Linked DNA regions of Tamandua tetradactyla. The protein of the gene in region 1 purifies or fractionates together with the protein of each later gene. This does not show direct contact. Links are inferred from orthologs where the notes say so. Each region holds a gene or a part of one and is shown in the gene's direction. Other genes may lie near its edges.

Region 1 (10,807 bases):
TTCTTTACCTGAACTTCATCTTCAAAACCAGCTCAAGCTTTACTTTACTGACCCCTCAGGCTGGTGCCTTGCCACAGAATCTAGGACCTACTGTCCACATTACATGGAAGTTTGCCTACATTTATTATCTCATTTATTAGACTATGAGCCCTTTAAGGGCAAAGACTGAGCCTTGGTCATCTTTGTATCCCTACTGCCCAACACAGTGCTTGGTGCACAGAGCAGGCCCTGAGAAAACGTTTGCTAACTGGATCTGAATTAGAACACTCACCCCTCAGCAGACTACTTACTCTTGTCAGGCTCTAGCTCAAGTTTTCAGAGCTGCTGCCATTATGTTAATCATTTCCTCAACATTTCCTTTTCTTAGCCTCATTTTACATAGGAGGGGCCTGGAACTCAGAAGACAGGTGACTTATCCAAAGTCGCACATCTAATAACAGCAGACTTGGCCTTTGAACATACATATGGTGTCACTCCCAGAGTACCATGCAGCATTTCCTCCATCAACTAACCCAGCAGTCTTTTTGTTGTTGTTGTTAAATTATCAATATTTTCTATTTATATTTTCATTATAATTCATCTAAATCATTTCAAAATAGGAAAAAGAACACAGATTATGAAAAATAAGTGTCCCTCCCATCTCTATCCCTTGGTCTGGTTAACAGTTTCTTGTATAGTCTTCCAAATGTAGTTTAGGCATTATATAATACTAAATATTCCTTTTAACAGCAAAAATACACCTGTATTGTACTAACATATACAACTCAAAACCAAATATTCTTTAGACCATTTTTGTCTCCATGTTTACTCTCTCTCAAGAACCAGGGCATATGGCCCAGAGCTAACCCAAGAAGAGTTAGCTGTCACTAGCCCCCCTTCCCCAGTCTTTTTCCCTGTAACCCCCCCACCCCTCAGGCCCTTCCCAGGCCAGTGAGGTGGGTGTCTTCTCCCCCTCTCCTTTCTTTCCAGCCCTAGGGCCTGCTTAAGTCAGGGTAAGGGCTACAGTTGGTCCTGGTATGTCCCTCTCCAAGTGCAAGAGTGGGATAGCCCATGGTTCTAAGAAATAGTCTCTGCTGCCCACTCACCCCTATAACTCGGTTCCGCACATTGAAGAATTGGCTCTGTCGTTCCTTTTCTCGGTTTCTTCTAGCTTCAATGGCTGCTGCCTCCTTAGGATCTGAAGACAGGTCTACCTTATGCATCCTGGAGCAAGGGTGAGGTGGATGGCCAATCAGTGTTGCTCATCATCGATTATGTTCCCCCTTTCTTTCTCCCTACAATATCCCACCAGTTATTGATTCCTACTGATTTTACTTCCTAATATATTTCATATCCGTGTCCTCCAACTCTGCTGTCACCACCCTTAGCCTCACAATTTGGTGACAGACTGTTATGCCAAGGAGCCTCACTGGCTTCCCTAGCTCCAGTGTTGCATTCTCTAGTTTTCTCTGATTTGACTACCATAGTGATCTTTCTGAAGCAAATCTGACCATGGTATTCCTCAGCTTAAAACCTTGTACCTATTTCCTACAAGTTAAAGTCCCACCTCTTTGCCCAATGTATAAGAGACTTCATGATCTGACTCCTGCTCACTTCTAGCCTCAAACTCATTTACAACACTCCCTCATTCTCATTATGCTTTACTCCGTTTTCACCATCTCTGTAAATGGCACCACCATTCACTAGGTTGCTCAGGTCAGAAATGCAGTAGGTATCTTTTGATACTCCTTTCCCTCACTCCCTCTTCTTTCAAAATATATCCTCAGTCTGTTTGGGATAGAGTCTGTCTGGTACAAGCCACCATCATCACCTTCCTGGATTACTGCAAGTCTCCATTTTGATCTCCAGCTTCCTCTGTTGTCTCCTATAGCCCACAGAATCATGCAGAAACCAGAGTAAGCTTTCTTGCCTAAAATAAAATTTCCCCTTTCTTTATTTTTATTTCTTATTCTCTAGTCAAATGAGAGGCTTGAGGTCTTAAATTTGCCCATGTTCCATCTTATTTGGGGAATCCTTCTTTTTGCCTGTGGGCCAGCCAAAGCCAGTAAAAAAACTTTCAAAGGAATCTGATTATGCCTCTCACCTGCTTAAAATCCTCCAATTCCTTCCCACTGCCCTGAGAATCAGATCCAGACTCCTTCCTGTGGCTCTCAAGATCTGGTTTGTGCAGACCTTTTTACTTCGCCTCATACTACTGTCTCCCCTTCTCACAGTGCTCTACGTGGACTTGCCTCCTGTCAGCTCCTCCAGCAGAATAACTGTTCCCACTTCAGGGCCTTTACAGATGGTGTTCTTCCATTCTTCAACTCCTATAGCTAGTTCCTGCTCACTGTTTCACCATTTTATCAATGTGAGATATTTGATATATACAACAGAATAGATATAACTCATATGTAAGTTAGAAAGTATGTTAAAATAGAGACCTATGTACCAAGTCCCCAACTTAAGAACATTATTGATAATGCTGAGGTGTCCTGTATCTCTTCTTTCTCACTCTCATCCCATCCAAAATGTTACCATTCCCTATCACTTATAAATATACTTGGTGTATCTATGATTTCCTGAACAATATTTTTTTAGTTTTCTTGTTTTTGAACTTATGTCATTCTGAATTCCTCTGCATTTTGCTTTTTTCACTCAGCGTTCATTCTGTTGTTTACCAAATATCTATGGAGTGCCTTCTAATGATCAGGCATTACTTTAAGCTTGTGGGAGGCATCAAGAAAAGACAAAAGTCCTGGCCCCTGTGTAAGCTCCTTTCTAGTGGGGGCTGACAGACCGTAGAGTAAAACATTAAATATTTTGTAAGAAGATAAATGCTATGGGAAAAAAAATAGAACAGGATATAAAGGGGATTGGAAATGCCCAGGAAATGGGGCAGTATTACAATTTTAAATATGGAAGTGAGGGGGGACATAATTAAAAGGTAGCATTTGAGCAAATACCTGAAGAAGGTGAGGGGACTAGCCACCTAATTAGCTGAGGGGAAAGCATTCCAGATAGGGAACAAGTGCAAAGGCCTTCAGGTGTAAGCATGCGAGGCACATGTTCAAGGGAACACCGAAGAGGCAGGTGTGGCTGGAGTGGGTGAAGGAGAGGTAGGTAGGAAATGACAGAAAATGGGCGGCTAAATCATGTAGGGCTTTGTAGGTCATTGTAAAGGCTTTGAGAGAAATGAATAGGGTTTTGAACAGTGTAATGATGAGTCCTGGTTTTGATTTTTAAAGGGTTAATCTGGCAGCTTTGTTGAGAATAGACTGAAGGGAGGGAAGCAGGAAGACCAGTCAGGATATTATTGTAGTAGACCAGGAAAGAAATGATGGTGATTTAGATCTGGTCAGTAGCAGCAGAGGTGGCAGGAAGACGATAGATTCCAGATATATTTGAAGGCAGAGTCAACTGGACTTTCTTATGGATTGGATGTGAGGTGTGAGACAGAGAGATCAAGAATGATTTAAAGGATTTGGGCCTGAGCAATCATGAGGGATGGAGTTGGTATCAAGTGAACAGTCTGTGTAGGTAGAACAAGTGTGGTGTGGAGGGATAATCAAGAGATTAGTTTAGGATATGTTTGAGAGTTGGAAATGTCTAGAGTTTAGGAGAGAAGTATGAGCTAAGAATATGAATCTGTGAATTAATGACATACAAGTTTTGTGGTAAATTTTATTATTGTTCAGAAACATGTGCTGCTGCTCTCTACAGAAGGATTATACAGCCCTACCTCATTGCCGTCAGGGTTAGCCACGTGATTTGCTTTGCCTTATGCAATGTGAAAAACTGGCATGTGTCATTCTCAGGCAGAACTAAGAATCATTACATGATCTGTCACTTATTTTTTTTCTCTTCACTCTCTGCTATGATACTGTCCCAGGCAAGGACTACTTCTTCAGCCTAAGTTCTGGATAGATGATATAGAGCAGAGATGCAGCCAACCCACACTGGAGAAGAAGCATGAGTAAGAAATAGACCTTTGTTTTTATAAACTACTGAGATTTGGGGATTGTTTGTTACCCCAGCATAATTGTGCCTATCCTGACTGAAACAAGGGAATTTGAAGCTATAAGACTGTATTAAATCTCTAAGGGAGTGAGGGTAGATAGCTAAGATTGCCTGAGAATATTAGGAAGTTAGAGGAGGGGAGACAGGGAGAGGAGGAGGCAGCATAGGATGCTAAGATGGAGTAGTAGTTAGTAAGGTAAGAGAAAACCAGAAGAGTATGGTGTCCTAGAAGCTAAGTGAAGAAAGTACTGTTAGGAGGAGAGAGTGATCAACTAACTGATGATGGGTTAAGTAAGATAAGGCCTGAGAACAGAATGATTTAGTAACATCAGTGTCACTGATGACCTAGACAAGAACAGTTTTGGTAGAACCGTGGGGATGAAAGCTTGATTTAAATAGGTTCAAGAGAGATTAGGACTCTGCAGAACGAACAACCCAGTTTATTAAAAAAAAAATGAGAAGAGAAAGAGGAGGAAGAACTTTTAGATTAAAAGAGATGTACATACAGGTAGGAGAGTTTCTCTAGCATAGATTTAAGAGTGGAAGTACTGGACCATATGGTGTATGTGTATTTAACTTTACAAGATAATGCCAAATTGTTTCCAAAAGAAATCATACCAATTTACACTTTTACAGCAGTGTACTGTATATAGTTTTGGTCAGTCCACATACTTGCCAACACTTTATAATGCAGACTTTCTTTTCCAAATTTGTGGCTTATCTTTTCACTTTATTATTACTTTATACTAATTTTATGGTAACAATGCATACAAAGGGATATGGTTAACACACATGGAAGTTATGAAGCACAACGATAAAATGGACACCTGTAAATCCTCCACAGCACCCAGAAAACAGAACATTATCAATACTTAAGAAGTTTTCTCTGGGCACTTACCCATTTTTTCACTTTTCTCATAGTGTATTTTGATGAATTTGAATGTAGTCAGTTTTACCAATCTTCTCCTTTAAGCTTAGTAGTTTTTATTTACAAAATCCCTCCCTACCCTGAGGAAGGAAGTTAAAGGGGAGAGTGTGAGTAGGAGAAGGGGACAAAGCAGAGTGGGAAGAAGGGGGCAAACAAGGGATGGGGCATAGAGGGGAATGGAATAGAGGGAAAGAGAAGGGGGAGGCATGAAAGGAGAGCCAGACGGAGAAGGGAGGAAGAATGAGATGGGGAGCACTGACTTAGGGATACTGACTTCCGGAGGTACACACAAAATACCTTTCTCAGTCAGGAGTTTCCGTTTTGAAGCTTCCAGGTTGAATCTGGTTTCAAGTAGTCAAGTGGTTTAGGTTCAAATCTGTTCTTCGAATACAGCGGCAGTCTCTCAACTTTGGAGGACGGGAGGCGGAAGGCAGTGGATAGGGCAGTACGTCAGGTCATAACCTTCACTAGTCCGTATCTCTGCCACCCGGAGTCCACCCCCACCCCCCAGCGCCCTTCACACTCCCATCTCGCTTCAAACCCCGTCCCACCCTAGACAAGGTCTAAACTCACCGAATTCGGAATCCTTCCTCCCACCCTCCTGGTTCAGCCCGCCCCTCCCCGGGGTCCTTCCAATTTCCGACCCAGTTTTTGTTCAAGCCTTTTGGCCGAACAAGCTAAAGGCAAGAGCCTAGCTCCCACCCTACTCTTGCCCTGAGGAGCCTGACCCTGCTGTGAGTTCTGAACTTCTCAGCAGGCGTGGGCTCTGGGCCCGCCTGCCCCCTCAGATGCTAAACTTCGCTTTGAGACCTCTCCGCACTGCCTCCTCTAAGACTTGGCCGGCGACTGCAGCGGTTTGTGTTGCCACGGCAACAAGAAAAGGAGGCGGGACCCAACCACCCGCCGTAATCTCACGCCCCGGCAAAAGATTAACAAAATCTCCACTCCAGACCAAAGGCCCCGCCCTTTATTTCCTGCTCGCGACGGAAGTAGGAAATCCCGTTTGGCTTGGACTTTTTCTCGCGAGGATTGCCGTCCGCCCGGCCTGCACTGCGGTGTTTCCCGCGCAGGTTACCCCACTTCCCTGGCGTACGGCGCGGCTCCTCGTACCGCTGCCGCCATGGGTTTTCTGAAACTGATTGAGATCGAGAACTTTAAGTCGTACAAGGGGCGACAAATCATAGGACCATTTCAGAGGTTCACCGCCATCATTGGACCCAATGGCTCTGGTGAGAAAAACCCGGCTGCGGCCCAGCTCTGGTCCCGGCCTGGATCCCCTGTCCGGCGGCAGAGTAGTACAGCCCAGTCCGTGCCACCTGAAAAGTTGCAAACCCTACGGGTTTCCTTATTCCTCCTGAAGGAGTTCGGCCCGAATTCGCTCTCCCTGCTTGGGTGCTTTGACGCGAACCTCTTTCCCGAGTGTCAGTTACCCGCGCTTTGAGCGGCCCCGCTCTAACCCAAGTGGTACCGGCCGAACTCTACTTTGTCCCGCCCACTACCCCTCCCGCTCAACCCCCTTGGCACAGGCTTCCCTTACCCCGCTTCATCCCTCCGGAAGCTGTAGGATGGTTGGTAATCTCCTCCCGTGGCCTTTGGTACTAAACGGTGAGCCTTAGCTCAGCATCCCCTTCTGCCTCGCATTGGTATGCCCCAAAGCCGCCTTTTTTCACTTTTCTCAGGAGGCGGCACTTTTGAATCTCGCGTCTTCAGAGTGCTTGGATCCCCTTCTCCTTTCACTTCAGTGGTGTGGTGCCTCAGACTTGCCCCGTACCTACCACTGAAACTGTCCAAAGCCGGTACTCATTCGCTTACCAAATATTTTAATGCTAACTGCTTATCAGGGGCTGTCTAAAGTGCTGTGGAAACAGCGGAGAACGAAATACAAGTCTGTGCTCTTAGGAACTTAGTATCCTAGTGGGGAAAGACGATGACAAAGAAGGAGGAAAGAAGATATTTTAGATTGTGATGGGTGGTTTGAAAGAAATAAGACCAGCCGTTGATGTGGTAGAGTGATTTGCAGGGTGTCTTTAGAAAGAAAAGGTGGTCAGGTGAGGCATCTGTGTCATATCTCAACTCCCCATCTCTAAATGATGCACCATGGGTTCTCCCACTTAACCCCAGAAGTGGTCCATTTGAATCCTGCTGTACTGCTTCACCCCAGAGATGTTCTACCTGAATAATTTTCTAGCCTTTGCTGAAGTACCTCATACTGAATACCTTTCCTAGATTCCTACCTGGCTTTGCCCAAACCAGGGTTACTCAACAGCAACACTATTGACATTTTGGTTGGGAAGATTCTTTGTTGTGGGGACATTCCTGTGCATTGTTGGATGTTTGGCAGGATCCCTGATTCTGTCCTCTAGATTTACACAAGCACCTTCGTTCCCTGAGTGTGGCAATGAAAAATATCTCTAAACAGTACCAAATGACCCCTGGCAGGCAAAATCACAACCTCTGTCCCCCCTTCAAGAACTGCTAGTCTAGACTAGCTAATACTGAGGGGCGGGTCCCATTCCAATTTCTTGGGGTTTTGGTGCAGTGACCTCTGTGGAAAGAGCCAGGATGTACCTCTTGACACTCAGTCCCCTCAGCAGTTCAGAAAGGCCCTTAGCCCGACTACTCCCTCCGCAACCATATTCTTCAAGGTTCATCTCTCCAGAAGGCATTCCTTGATTCCCCTCAATCAACAATTGCTCTTCCTCTCTGATACACAATAGACACTTAGGACACGGTGTTTATTTTCTTCTGTCTTGTATTCATCATATATATTTTTGTATCTTTGTATCACTGGTCTATGAGTGTTCTGAAGGAGACATTCCTTTAAATGTTTTGTTATTTTTGTAATTCTAGTTTCCAGATCATATTACATGTTATGAAAATTTTGCAATATTGAATAATTGTGTGTAGAGAGACCTTTGGTTGTGAGATATTCTCATCATCCCTGGAGAGCATTCAAGAAACCCAAAGGTTGGAAATTGGTGCCTAAAAGGCTGACTCCTAGTCTCTGTGATGTGCTGTAGTCCTGCTGTGATGAGGTAGACAGAGCTAAGGGTCCAGACCTGAGTTAGAATAGGACCAACAATTACTGAGTACTTACTGTGTGTCAGGTATTTTAGTTATTGGGATCCTTTACATTTAAATTCTCACAATGATCCTAGGAAGGAGATGCCATTATCCCCATTTTATAGATGAAGAGTCTGAGACATAAAGAGTTGTGATAACTTGCTGGATAGTCCCTCAGACATTGCCATTGTTCTTCAAAGCCTATGCTCCTGCTGCTCCAACAGAGAATTTTGTGCCAAGCATTGTTTTAGATGCTTTACCTATAAGTGATGTTTTTTTTTGTATTTTCCAGACGAAGGAATGGAAGGTCAGAAATAGTAAGCAGTTTGTTCAAGGTTACACAGTAAGAGGTAGTTAAACTAAGATTAGAACTTGGTCTGTTTTACTAGTGCCTGATCACTGTCTTATACTGCTTGCAAGGAAGGACTTCCAGTGTCATTTTTATGACTAGGTGGAAAGGCAATGGAAATCAGGACCTCAGTCTATCATATGACATGTTTGGGAAGTATCTTGAGATAGAATTTATAGTGATTAAACTGTTCCTCTCCAATACCCCCCACATAATTCCTGTCTAAACTTTAAAAGAAAAAAATTTTTTTTCTGATTATAAGCTAAAGAAAACAAAAACTCTAACTCCATTACTGAAAACATAGCCACTCATAATGTTAAAAGTCTTGTTTGTTTGTTTGAGTAGCTAATACGTGGTATAAAATTCAAACGATCTCAAAGGTATACAATAAAAAGGAGATTTCCCATTCTCAGCTTCATAGTTTCCTCCCGAGAAGCAGCCATTGTTAAACTGTTTACATTTTCATATTTTTTCCTTGTGCCTTCCTCTCCCCTCGTTTATATTATGAAAATATCCAAACATATGTATGTATTTTTCCTAATCATTGGAAGTAAATTGCAGACTTAATGGGAATCTTTACCCCTTAGTCCATCAGTATTCTTCTCCTAAAATCATCATCTTCCTATATTACCACTATACCATTATCACACCTAAGAAAATCAGTTTCCTTACATCATGATATTTATATGTAAGCTTCCCTAAATGCACCCAGAATGTCTTTTTTGGTTTTGCGGGGGGGGGGGGGGGGGGGGGCTGGATCCAATCAAAGTTTGTGTACTGCATCTGGTTATGTCTCAGTAATCTCTTGTGTTCTGGAACAATTCCCCTGGCCTTTTTTTTTTTTTTTAAAGGTACTTTTTGAAAAGACCAGGCCAGTTATCTTATAGAAAGTTTTGTGTTTGTCTGAAAGTTTCCTCATGGTGTCATTTACCATATTTTGCTATCTGCTATATTACCTGCAAACTAGAAAGTAGGTCTAAGGGTTTGTTTAGATTTAGATTTGGCCAAATACTTCATAGATGATGCTGTGTACTTCATATTTCATCACAAGAGGAGCATGCCTTTTTTTTTTTTTGACATGGTTGCAGTCAAAGTGTATATTAACTTTTGGATTTTGCTTGTTTCACCAATTGGCATGAACCCACATCATTAAAGGTTAAAGAACAATCCATTCTGTGAAGATACCATTTCCTTATGTGGGTTTCTAGTTTTGTTTATTATGAATAACAACTGCAGCAGGACTATTTTCCTAAGCCTTTGACCCAGCACTTAGGTTGGACACAGTCTTTATGAGTACTCTTCCATTAGTCTGATCACTGGATGATTAGGAAACATTCCTGCTCTGTCAATGCTTCCTTTACTCTTTTTCTTTCTTCCTGACGTCCCTCTTCTGCTTTGTTCCCTCTTCTCTTAGGTAAGTCAAATCTCATGGATGCCATCAGTTTTGTGCTGGGTGAAAAGACTAGCAACCTGCGGGTAAAGACCCTGCGGGACCTGATCCATGGAGCTCCTGTAGGCAAGCCAGCTGCCAACCGGGCCTTTGTCAGTATGGTCTACTCTGAGGAGGGGGCTGAGGACCGTACCTTTGCCCGTGTTATTGTTGGTGAGTGAGGCTTGCCAGAAGTTTCTTGTTGGGTTCTAGGAGGTGGCTGGACTAATTGGTTGGGGTAGGAAGGAGGCATGATCCTCAGCTGACTCATGTATTGTCTTGCAGGGGGTTCTTCTGAGTACAAGATCAACAACAAAGTGGTCCAACTACATGAATACAGTGAAGAATTAGAGAAGTTGGGTATTCTCATCAAAGCTCGTAACTTCCTCGTCTTCCAGGTGGACCTTTTTAACAATTGTTAGATATCTACTTTTTGCCAGCCCCTGTCCTGTCCCTACTGGGCCTGCTCCATCTCAGGGTTCATCATCTCACCCCTGGACTGATGTACCAGTTTCCTTACTGGGCTTCCTAATTCCAATTCATTCCCTAGGCAGGTTCATCTTAGAAAGACACAAGTCTCTCTCTCTTCCTTCTCTCCTTAAAGCGTTTCAGTGACTCCTCATTGCCTTGTGATGGTGTGGTCTCCAGACTAGCAGCATCAGCATCACCTGGGGACATGTTAGAAATACACATTCTCAGGCCCCATCCCAAACCTACAGAGTCAAGAGACTTTGGGGTGGAGCACAGCAATGTGTGTTTTACCAAGCCCTCCAGGTTATTGGGATGCATGCTAAAGTTGAAGAACCATTGTCTTAGGATAAAATCCATACTAAGCCTGTCATTCAGGAAATACCACATTTGATTCTTGCCCACCTTACTAGCCTCATATGCCAATACTCTTCTTCTCCAGTCCTGCAATCCAGCCTAATTAAACTATTTACAGTTCCCCAAATTCACCTGCTTTCTTTGGTCTCCAGGCTTTTGCATATTATGTTTTCTCTTTATGGAATAACCTTTTATCTCTTTCTTACTTGGTTAG
Region 2 (10,562 bases), on another chromosome or scaffold:
AATCAATGAAACTGGAAGAGAAGGGAGAGACCAGCAGATGCCACCACATGCTTTGCCATGTGGTAGAGGAGCCAAGGATTGCCTGGTCTTTGGGAAGAAAGCATTGCCTTGATGATACCTTGATTTGCACTTTCTTTTACTTCAAACTTTAAGCTGGGGTGCATGGTGGCTCAGTGGTAGAGTGCTCGCCTTCCATGGGGGAGACCTGGGTTCCTCTCAGACCATGCACCTAAAAAAAAAGAAAAAAAAACCCTATAAATTAACAAATTCCCATTGTTAGAACCCACCCATTTCATGAAATTTGCTTGAGCAGCCTAGGAGACTAAAACAGGGAGTTTGCTCTTCTAGAAAAATCTGTGAATTCCTTCCAAAGGGCAAGTTTTTTGTCTTGAGCTCACCAAGAATGAGGCACAATGTTTGCTGAGCTTCTTAAGATTTTGGAGATGATGTGTATTGTATTTAGATAGCTGCTTTTGCCCATTAATTGAGAAACCTGAAAAGCAGCCCCTGGTCCTGCGGTTGGTATTCTATTGCTGTGTTCACCTAGAGCTCCTCTATGCCTGCGTGGAGGACACGTTGTCCTGGGTGTGTGTGGGAATGGTGATGGGATGAGGAGGACAGTGCTGTCAGAATGGTCTGAAAGACAATCTGCCTACCTCTGCGAGTACCTTATGAGTCAGCCTCCTGAAAGGATTGTGGTGACTTACACATCGGGAAACCAAAAAGGTGAGTAGGCATCTCAGATTTCTTCCTAACTGAATAACAGCTTACCTCATCTGAGTTAAGAGCTACTCAAAGAGTCTGCTCGTTCCAATGGGAACCTACCTTTTCAGTAGGGTGATTGTCCAAAAACCTAACAGCAGAAACCTGATCACTTTTAAATGAGTAGTGAAGAGGCAGCAAGTAAGAGAAGAGGGCAGATGAAAGGGACAATTGATATGATCAGTGGTATTTTAATAAATTATTTCCCTCTTATTCACAAAAAGAAATAGATGCTTAATGCAAAAGGTTTAGAGAACAAAGAAAAGCACAAAAGAAAAAAAAAACCAAGATTAATTTCATCACCCAGAGATAACCACAGTTAACATATGGCTTATTACAATCTAATCTTTTTGCCATGCTATGAATATGTATATATGTGCATTTGTGCTTAAATGGAATAATAGTATATATATGCTCATTTACAGTCTGCTTTTGAAGTTTGTATTATAGTGATCATTTTTCCATGTCAATGCATATTCTTATACCACATGATTTTAAAAGGCTTTATAGAACTCTTTCAAACAGGAAATGCCATACATTTCTTAACCAATGCCTTATTGTTTTACATGCGGAGGCTATCTGCCCTTATACAGAATTTTATGGATCTGCCTCCACAATAAGCTATTACCATATATGACTTTACCAGATCACTGCACATTATTGGAAGAAATCTGAGCTCGAGTTTTCCCATTATTCAAATTCCCCTTCATGGCTTTAGTCATATTCATGTCATATTTTAATTTAACCTCCATCAGTTCTTGGAATAATATTTGTGCAGCAATGAATTTTACCTAAAAAACACAAAGTAGGTTGCAAAATATATCTATTACAAGATCACTGATGCGAGTCCTTCATTTGGTACTTATTTAGCGTTGAAAATAAACAGAGCACAGCCACTCCAGGCAGGCAATATTCCTAAACACTGAGCATCCCCCAATGTACAAGGTTTCATGAGTCACATCAAGAAATGTAACTTCTTCCAGAGTTTGCTTTCCAGATAGAGGGATCAGACATGGAACCAAGACTAATTAAATATAGTACAAAAGATGTCACGAGGCAGTATCCCAAAACTGGTGTAGGCAAGAGGGGCTGCAATTTTTAACAATAGGTCACTGAGGGTTGGAGCAGTCAGAAGAGGGTTAATGGAAAAAATACTGTTTTAGTTTGCTAAATGCTGCTGGAATGCAATATACCAGAAATAGAACAGCTTTTAAAAACGGAATTGATTAAGTTGCAAGCTTACAGTTCTAAGGCCATAGAAATGTCCAAATTAAGGCATCCAGAGAAAGATACCTTGAGTCAAGAAAGGCCACATGTCACAGGGGAAGGCACGTGGCTGGCATCTGCATTCTTTCCTGGCTTCTGGTTTCAAAATGATCACTCAGCCCCTATAGATCCTTCTGGCTTCTGGTTTGCTTAGCATATCATGGGAAGGCACATGGTGATGTCTGCTGGGCTCTGCATCTCCACACATCTGTGCCAAGGTGTCTGCTCTCTCTGTTGGCACTCCAAGCATCTCCAAATTGTCCTTGTCTCTCTTGACTCTGAGCTCTTTCCAAAATGGTTCCCTCTTAAAGGACTTCAATAAGCAACCCCACCTTGAATGGGTGGAGATGTATTGCCATGCAAACCACCTAATCTAAAAGTCCCACCCCCAACTGGGTGGGTCACATCTCTGTGAAACAGCCTAATCAATGTGTCCCACCCTAAATAATGTTGAGTCAGGATGAAAGAACATGGTTCTGGGGTATACCACAGTTTCAAGTACATAAATACTAAGCTTTGAAAGGCCTTTATCAGGAGACAAATATATCTATTCTTAGGGGACAGTAAATCAAGCTTACCAGAAGTGTAGGGATAGAGGGTAAGGTCTGAAGGACAGCTGAGTACTAGACTGGAAAGGTGCTCGAGTGCACGGGCTCCTGTCTGCACACTAGGGGAGGAGGCTTTGGCCAGTAAAGCATGTGGTGGCCTGGACATCTCAACCTGGCAAAAATGCAGTTCTTAGTCTTAGGCTCTCTGAAATCTCTTTAAACTTATGTTGGAAGTTAAAATTGTTCACTGATCCTTACTTCACTTTTGCTCATTGATCAAGATCCACATTAGAAACCGTTCCAGTAGTAAAATATCTGGTTATAAATCATATGTGCAACTTAAAAAATTAAGTAAAAATATTCAGTAGTTGGAATGGGATTTTTTTCTCTAAACATGTCATGATTAAGACTTAATCTCTTAATTCTGTGATATTTCTTTTACTAACTTTTTTGTCTTGATACATTTTTTTTGCATGGGCAGGCACCGAGAATCGAACCCAGGTCTCCGGCATGGCAGGCGAGAACTCTGCCTCTGAGCCATGGTTGCTCGCCCTTGATACATTTTTATATTATAAAACAAATGTAACATTATTGAAGACATTGGAATATAGAAAAAAAATCCTATAACCAAATTCTAAATCTAACTATTAAATATGTACATGTCTTTTCAGACTTCTCAACATGTGTGTTTACCTTTACCCAGTTGCTATGCTATTGTGCAAGTTTCTTTTTAAACTAACATACTACAAATATATGAAAATGGTAATTTTAATAAGGATATTTTCTAAGATTTGTAGAAACATCTTTGAGTAGACGGGGTCCATTTTTCCCTAGAATTTTCCAACTGTTGTGCAATTGGAGTTCTGCTGCACAGAGATGGGATTCAGCTGTGATGAGACTCCAGTCCCCTGCCTGGCCTGCAGTGACTGACACTCGCACACGAATAGCCTCCAGCTTCAAGAAGTATCCTCCCGAGAGCTGCACAAATATCACCATTTTCCATGCTTGCCATTATAAGCACTTTAATAATGATGCTACAATTGTCTTCAGCTTCTATTAATATTACTAGGTATTGAACTTGGATTATTTTTACAATTGAGTTTTAATCATTTTTCAAAGCGATACTTGTGCATGATAAAAATGTAAACAGTACAGGAAAGGAGAGTGGTAGTAAGTCCCCCTCTAACCTTGGCCTTCCTATTCCTTTCCACAGAGGCTGACTGCACTAGTTTCTTGTGTATCCTTCCTGGCCAAACAGCATGGTTCGTGCACACACACACACACACACACACACACACACACACACACATCGGGGGCCAATGTTTATAATTTTAATTTAATTTAATTAAATATTAAATTAAATTTAATTCACTTATTGTACAATTGAAAGAAAGGTCCCTGGTATAGAAGATGTACCAGAGGCTCTTCTGCATATCCCCAGCCTGGCACGTATCTTGCTTTTACACACTGATTTGCACTTCTCTTTTCTCACCTAATAATGTAACCAGAGATTCTGCATATCAGTGCATTCAGAGTGCCTTCATCCTGTTCAATGGTACTGTATTTTACCCATGTCTTACAGGTAGCTCTTTACATTGTTCCCATTCTTTCATTACTATGAACAAATACCAACAGATACCCCTACACAGTGTGAGTTTACCTGTGGAATAAATGTCCCGATGAGGAACTGCGGGGAAAATAGTATATGCACATACAGTATGATTGGTCTTGTTAAATTTCCTACCAAAGAGATTTACCATTTTCACTCCTTCCATCGATGTATTTGAGGATGGATACATTTCCCAACTTGGTGTATCTTTATCAGCCTGAAGGATGAAAAATGTGTCTCATTGGTTTAATTTACATTTAATCTCAAAGTATTTTAAACTTCAAGTTTTGAATGTTTTGAATCAAGTTTTCTTCTGTAATTGAATAAGCACTCTTCATCCATGAACTTGCAGCAGGTGCTGATACTATTAGAAGGTAATATGCTGGTGAGAATAAATTCAAAATAAAAGCTGGTTCAGAGTATCTGCGCAAAGATGGGATAATACTAGTGCAACAGGGAGCAAGGCAAGAGAAAGCTGGCCTGTCTATGTACTATTAAACTCCAGGTAACTCTTTCTTCCTAGGAAACCCACAGATCTGGAGAGTCAGGAAGAGTAAAAGAAAAATGATGTAAAGGAAAGAGGAATTTAAGGACTAGCTGATCTGGGACAGGCTTATAGAAATCAGTGTTTTGGTGTACTTTATTTCTTGCTATTTCTGAATTTTGTTCACTGGTAGAGTAATAGTATTCCGCTTTGTATGTAAGTTGAGTGTAGTTACAGAATAGAACCCATAGTTTAAAGTCTTTTTTTTTTTTTTTTTAAAGAAAATGAGAGCATGCTGTGTGGTATGTTCTGTTCACAAATATCTAACCTCCCAGTCCAAACCCATTCATTATTTATTTTGGGAAACGGAAAGAGCAAGGCAGTTCTATATGTACTGTTCTGCATAGGACTCCAGATCTGGCCATTAAAGTTCTAAACCCGGACCTTGAAACGCGCGTAAGACGTTCCAAAGGTAGAGAAAATTTTAGTTAAAAACTTCTCTCGCCCTGCAAAAAACCACTCCCCCCAAAATGCAAGAAAAACGTCTATTAATGCAAAATATGCCTCTATTCTCATCAGATCTTATTCTATTCTCTTTTATTGAGCTTCGGATTTTTTTTTAAGTGAAGAACAATGCTTGGCGAGGCAAAACCGAGGTGCACCAGGCAGATGTGGATTTGGGCTGCTACGTTAGACTCTGGATCGTCACAGCGAATTCCATCCCTACCCAGGCCCACCAAGACCCGGCTCCTATTTTCGGCCGTTTAGAAAATCAGCCTTTTCAAAGACCCCCAGATGCCGCTCCTTGTGGAGGCTGCCTCGGAGGTATTCCCGGTCACCCTGAGGTTTATGACAGAGAAGACCGCGATCGGCCCTGAGATGTTGGGGGGCGCAGCCCCCCGGTCTCCTTTCCGGGGCTCCCTCCAGCTTCCTCCTCCGTGCCAAGGCTCTGGGTACGCCCTCCACCCCCCACCAGACCCCTAGTCCCCATCCGTCCCTCTCTGTCCCCCACAGCCTAGCGGAGACCCTCTCAGGCCCCCGCGCACCCTCCCCGGTGCGCTGCGGCCGGCGCCCCCCCACCCCGCGCCCCGCCCGATGCCGCAGCGGGGCCGGCGCTCCGCCATTGGAGTAAAAATAGCAGCGTCCCCCCCACTCCCCGCCCCAGGCCCGGGTACCCGCTCCCGCCCATCGCCGCCCTCCCCGCCCGGCTCCGCTCCGGCCGCCCGCCCGGGCCCGGCCGCTCCACGGCGCGGGCAGACCCAGCTCGGCTCGGCGCAAGCATGCAGCGGCGGGGTGCCCTGCTCGGCATCCCGGGCGGCAGGAAGATGGCTGCGGGGGACCTGGGCGAGCTGCTGGTGCCCCATATGCCCACGATTCGCGTGCCCAGGTCCGGGGACCGGGTCTACAAGAACGAGTGTGCCTTCTCCTACGACTCCCCGGTACGTGGAAGGATCACGGGGCCCGGGGCAGTGGTGCTGGAGGCGGCGGCAGCAGGGCGCGGGGCGGCCGGGGACCTTCGCCTCCGCGCGCTGGCCGGGCTAGGGCCCCGCGGCTCGGCCAGTACCGAGCGGGCGCCTCCTCTGGCCCGGGCCGCGTCCCCGCCGCAGTTCGCCCGCCCAGTGAGGTTGGCTGCGTGAGAGATTCCCGCTGCTGGGGACGCGCCCTCAGGCGAGGATTGGGGGTGGTGGATGCAGAGACTGACCCCCACCCCGGACATAGCCTGCCCTGAGTCTGGGACGGGGCGCTTGGCCCAAGGTTCCCCACTCCGGGACGGGTCTGAGGTACCCCGGGAGCGGGGGCTGCCTCCACTACCCGCTTCCCCTCCACACCTCCTTTCCAGCAGAATTGCGGGGTCGAATGGGTCATTAAGGCCTTTCCCTCACCCCTTAAAAAGGAGGCCGCTGGAACTGATATGCACAAATATCAATGATTAAAAGTTCAATCCCAAGTCGTGACCTCAGAGACTGGAGGGAAGTGAGGCTCGATCACCGCCCGCTACCCAGGGCGCTTGGCGGTGGGTTTAGCTGCGTGTGTGCGCGCGCGCGTGCGTGCGCGTGTGAGTGTGATGAGACCTAGGGTGAATGCTCCTTTCACAAGTCAAAATGGGCTTCCAAGTGACTCAGCTGTCTGGCGTTTCTCATGTCTTTTTGAGGACCGGGTTATTTTTATCCACACACTTTAGATCTCATGTGTCGCCCAGCAGATCCCAGAGCGTTTGGAGGTGCATTGATTGCGACGACTGAGACTTCACGATAGTTCAACACATTTATTCATATTATGTATTTCCCCCTCATTGGAGGGGGAAAAAAAAAGTAAAAGCAAAAACAAATGAGTGACACATTTTCCAAAGCATTCTTTATTATCTTGTGAGTTGGTGCTGGTTGGTTTCCAAGCAATTTTCTTTGGTATATTGGAACCCCAGAATTAGTATCCTTTCTGTGATGTTTAGCTTTTCTTTTATGTGAATCCCAGATCATTTGGTGATAAAATCTCACCTTTTGTTAATTATTTTTTTCTTTCAAAGAGATCCATGTAGAATGAAGTGAAATGGTTGTATTTAATGCCTTGTGTATTTAATATATAGTGGTGGTACTAATAAGACAACTGTCAGCAGTGCCTTTAAATCGTGTTATCAACAAAGTATATGAAAGTGACACTTTGAGATTTTGTTTCCAGTGTTGGGTGTCTTCCCACCAGCAACTCCTAAGGGTGAAGAGGGATAATGGTCCCACCTAACTTAAACAATTGACCAATTGTGAACTTCAGGAAGAAGAAAGTGGACTGAGTGTTCAGGAGAGCACAGTGTGTAAAATTAGCAAAACTACTTTCTCTACATTTGGTTTGGTTGGCTTTTCAAGTTCTGCTTACAAACTTTCTTTTTGGGAATCTTTACCACATAGTGTGTGGCAGGTGTGAGAGAACGCTAATTTAAAAAATTCATTTCCACTAATAGTTATTGGTGCTTACCATGTGTCAAACACTATTTTGGAATCATCTTGTCTCATATAAAATATTTTCCCTCATATCACAATAGTTCCTTGGAGGTGACTGGATTTATTTACAAAGCCAGTGCATCAGTATATTTCATTATTTATGTTTTAAGGGAGGAAGAGAGGGAAGGTTTTATAACAAGTTTGCTTAAAGCACAGTGCGTGATAATGCAAGGTCTTTCCTTGTGGTACTTAACACTTTGTCAGGAATCTAGTAGGGTGTCTTGAGCCCCTGCTTTGTGCCAGTTTGTACCTGCGTTGTTATAAGAACCTCACAGAGCAAAATCCATTGGTGCAAAACATGCCAGAAACTTTATTCCACAAGTGCTATGGGACTGTGGAACTTTGGTTGAGAAAAGATCGAGACTAGTTGAGTGAAAAATCCCCCAACTTTCTTGCAGTGGATGTTTTTGAAGATCATAGATAGTGATGGCTAGAAATAAAGGAGCCCAACCTTCCAGGCAGGGAAAACTTACACGTGCAAATGCATAAAATGTGAATGTTTTCTTGTTATTTGCCTGTAATGTATTTGAAAGAAAAAAGATTGATTTGGCAAGAAACAAGAAGTGGAGAGTAGATGATGGGGTGTCTTGCATACCTGGAAAAGGATCTTAATTTTATGTATCAGTTATTGAAAGCTAGTGTGGGTAGTAGGTTTAAGGTGGTATGGAGGTAGACTGTGTATCACTGATTTTTTGCAATGTACCTACTGTGTCTAAGGCACCATGTTCACATTTTTGCCATTTTTCACCTTTGTGGGCTTTGAATATTGAGCCGACAGTGTGATAACTCTTTTCAGTATTCCCCTCCTTCCTCTGTTTCCACCTTCTAGGGATTAGCATGTTGGTGCTCAATAGCAGTTATTTTGAGATGAGTGAGTAATATTTTAGTTTCCTCGGCTGTTTGAGTAAATCCCGTGCAGTGGGCTGGCTTAAGCAATGAGAATTTAATGGCTGCTGATTTTGAGGGAAGGAAAAAAGTCCAAGTGAAGGTGTCATCAAGGTGATGCTTTCTTCTCCAAGACTGGCACTCTGGGGCCAGCTGCCAGTGGTCCTGGGCGCTGGGCTCCCTGTCACGTGGCAGTGCCCGTGGTGGCCTCTCGTGGCCTGTCCCTTCTCTTCCAGACTCCGCTGTCAGTATCTTGATTTTCATGGTTTTTCTCTCTCTTTCTGTCTGAATTTCATTCTGCTTATAAAGGACTCCAGTAATAGGAGTAAGATCCACCCAGATTGAGGTGGGGCACATTTTACCTCATCAAAAGTCCTTACAGTGGGCTCATACCCGCAGGAATGGTGCAAGTTTGAGAACTTGTTTTTCTGGGGCATGTGCTGCTCCAAACCACCACAAGTGAGGTTTGGTTTTTCCATGTCCCAGACCCACCTTCAAACCTCAATCTCTCTGGTTGTTGAGACTCTACTTGATGGGAACATACTTTGCCTTCCCTCCTCTCCATTTTTAGATTGCCCTTCTGGGGAGACCAGTGTCTGTTTTTTCAGTGGGTGAGACTAATTTCCTTTTCCAAGACCACTTTCTTCTCTTGTTCATCCTTCAGGGCTCTTTCTTGGCCACCCTTTTCTGCTTTGACTTCATCCTTTCCTCTGAAGGTCTACACAGAGTCTATATCATAAAATGCGGCAGTTATAGTCTGCCTTCCCTTATTTAGCTACCATTTCATTTCCTTTTACCTTTGTTACTCATATTTTTGAAGTACTACTAGGTGTGCTTAGGGACATTAGGGACGCATGGTGCCATGCCACCTTTGTGCTAATTATGCCCCTCCCCTAGCACTAACAGGAATGGAGAACTTGTCTTATAGTAAGTGGCAGAGCTGGGATTTGAATCACTGTCTGGCTTGGGGTTGCTGAAAATGCTGAGAGCGAGACTGGGACTCTGTGTATAGGCGTTTATTTTGGAAAGGTACCTAGGGAACAGAGGTGGAATAGTGACAAAAGGAATAGTGACAAAGGGAAGGAAGGTAATTCAATCCTAGATGAGTTATTGAGCTAGTCACCATGGCGGGTAACTGGTGCTCGGTCCTGTTGGGGACTTGGAGGCAGGGTAAAATGTGCGTCAGAACTGACCACCTGAGACCTGGAAGAGGGGAATATTACCCAGTGGCTCCATCCCCCATAGGTCAAGGATTGCCCCAGGGGGGTGGAAAGTCCCTCACTCTTCCAGGTTGACCTTTGTGCCATGAAGCTGAACAGCTCCCACAGGCTTCCCAGATCTTTGGCAGCAGAGAAGTAAGAGATCCTCTGGGAAGTCCAGGCTAGGCTGTTAGCCTCCACCTGTTGTGGCAATCAGCTGTACACAGGGGTCAGAGAGGTGGCCTGAGAGGATGAGACACAGCCCATTAAGGCCTCCCACTCTCCTCCGAAGCTCCGAGACCTCTTGGTGATGATGAGCTGCTACTGCTGGTTCTTCTCCTTCCTGGGAACCTTTGTAAGATGCTGAGGAGGTGGTCTTGGTGGACAGGTGCTGGTTTAAATAGCCAAAGGGAGAATCTTGGAGATCTCCAGCCACTTGTGGGGAAGCATCATACTTGGGGTTTAGTAAATCCTTCAGTCTGTCTGTCCTTCCTTCTACAAATATTTACTGATGTGCCTGGCACTATCTCATGGATTGCCAATCATAATGATGACAGCTAACACAGAGAGAGAGCAGTGGTTCCTAAGATGTGGTCCCTGGGCCAGCAGCATCAGCATCACCTGGGAATTTATTAGAAATGCAGATTATAAGCTCCTCACCAGACCTGCTGAAGCAGAAACTGGGGGTGGGGGTGGGGTGGGGGGTGGGAGCCAGCAAGCTGTGTTTTAAAGCTCTCCAGGTAACTGATGTATGCTGAAATTTGGGACCCTGTGATAGAGCGCATAGTGGGTGCTAGGTATCATTCTCCTCCTATA

The links. Proteins that work in one complex are often made in the same cells at the same time.
Region 2: the proteins of SMC1A (region 1) and USP13 purify together in Homo sapiens (affinity purification with mass spectrometry; 5 studies listed by BioGRID and IntAct, with this or other methods). This does not show direct contact. The link is inferred for Tamandua tetradactyla from reciprocal best matches to the Homo sapiens genes SMC1A and USP13.

The regions. Positions count from the first base shown.
Region 1 is NC_135353.1:116,101,078-116,111,884, forward strand, and holds the start of SMC1A (structural maintenance of chromosomes protein 1A), read left to right. Parts: upstream 1-5,942; 5' UTR 5,943-6,047; coding exon 6,048-6,156; intron 6,157-6,436; exon of another isoform or gene 6,437-6,492; coding exon of another isoform or gene 6,493-6,532; intron 6,533-9,753; coding exon 9,754-9,942; intron 9,943-10,053; coding exon 10,054-10,166; intron 10,167-10,807. Other genes in the region: RIBC1 (RIB43A-like with coiled-coils protein 1), read right to left, coding at 1,086-1,202. UniProt on the Homo sapiens protein: Involved in chromosome cohesion during cell cycle and in DNA repair. Central component of cohesin complex. The cohesin complex is required for the cohesion of sister chromatids after DNA replication.
Region 2 is NC_135331.1:78,117,452-78,128,013, forward strand, and holds the start of USP13 (ubiquitin carboxyl-terminal hydrolase 13), read left to right. Parts: upstream 1-5,900; 5' UTR 5,901-5,949; coding exon 5,950-6,108; intron 6,109-10,562. UniProt on the Homo sapiens protein: Deubiquitinase that mediates deubiquitination of target proteins such as BECN1, MITF, SKP2 and USP10 and is involved in various processes such as autophagy, endoplasmic reticulum-associated degradation (ERAD), cell cycle progression or DNA damage response.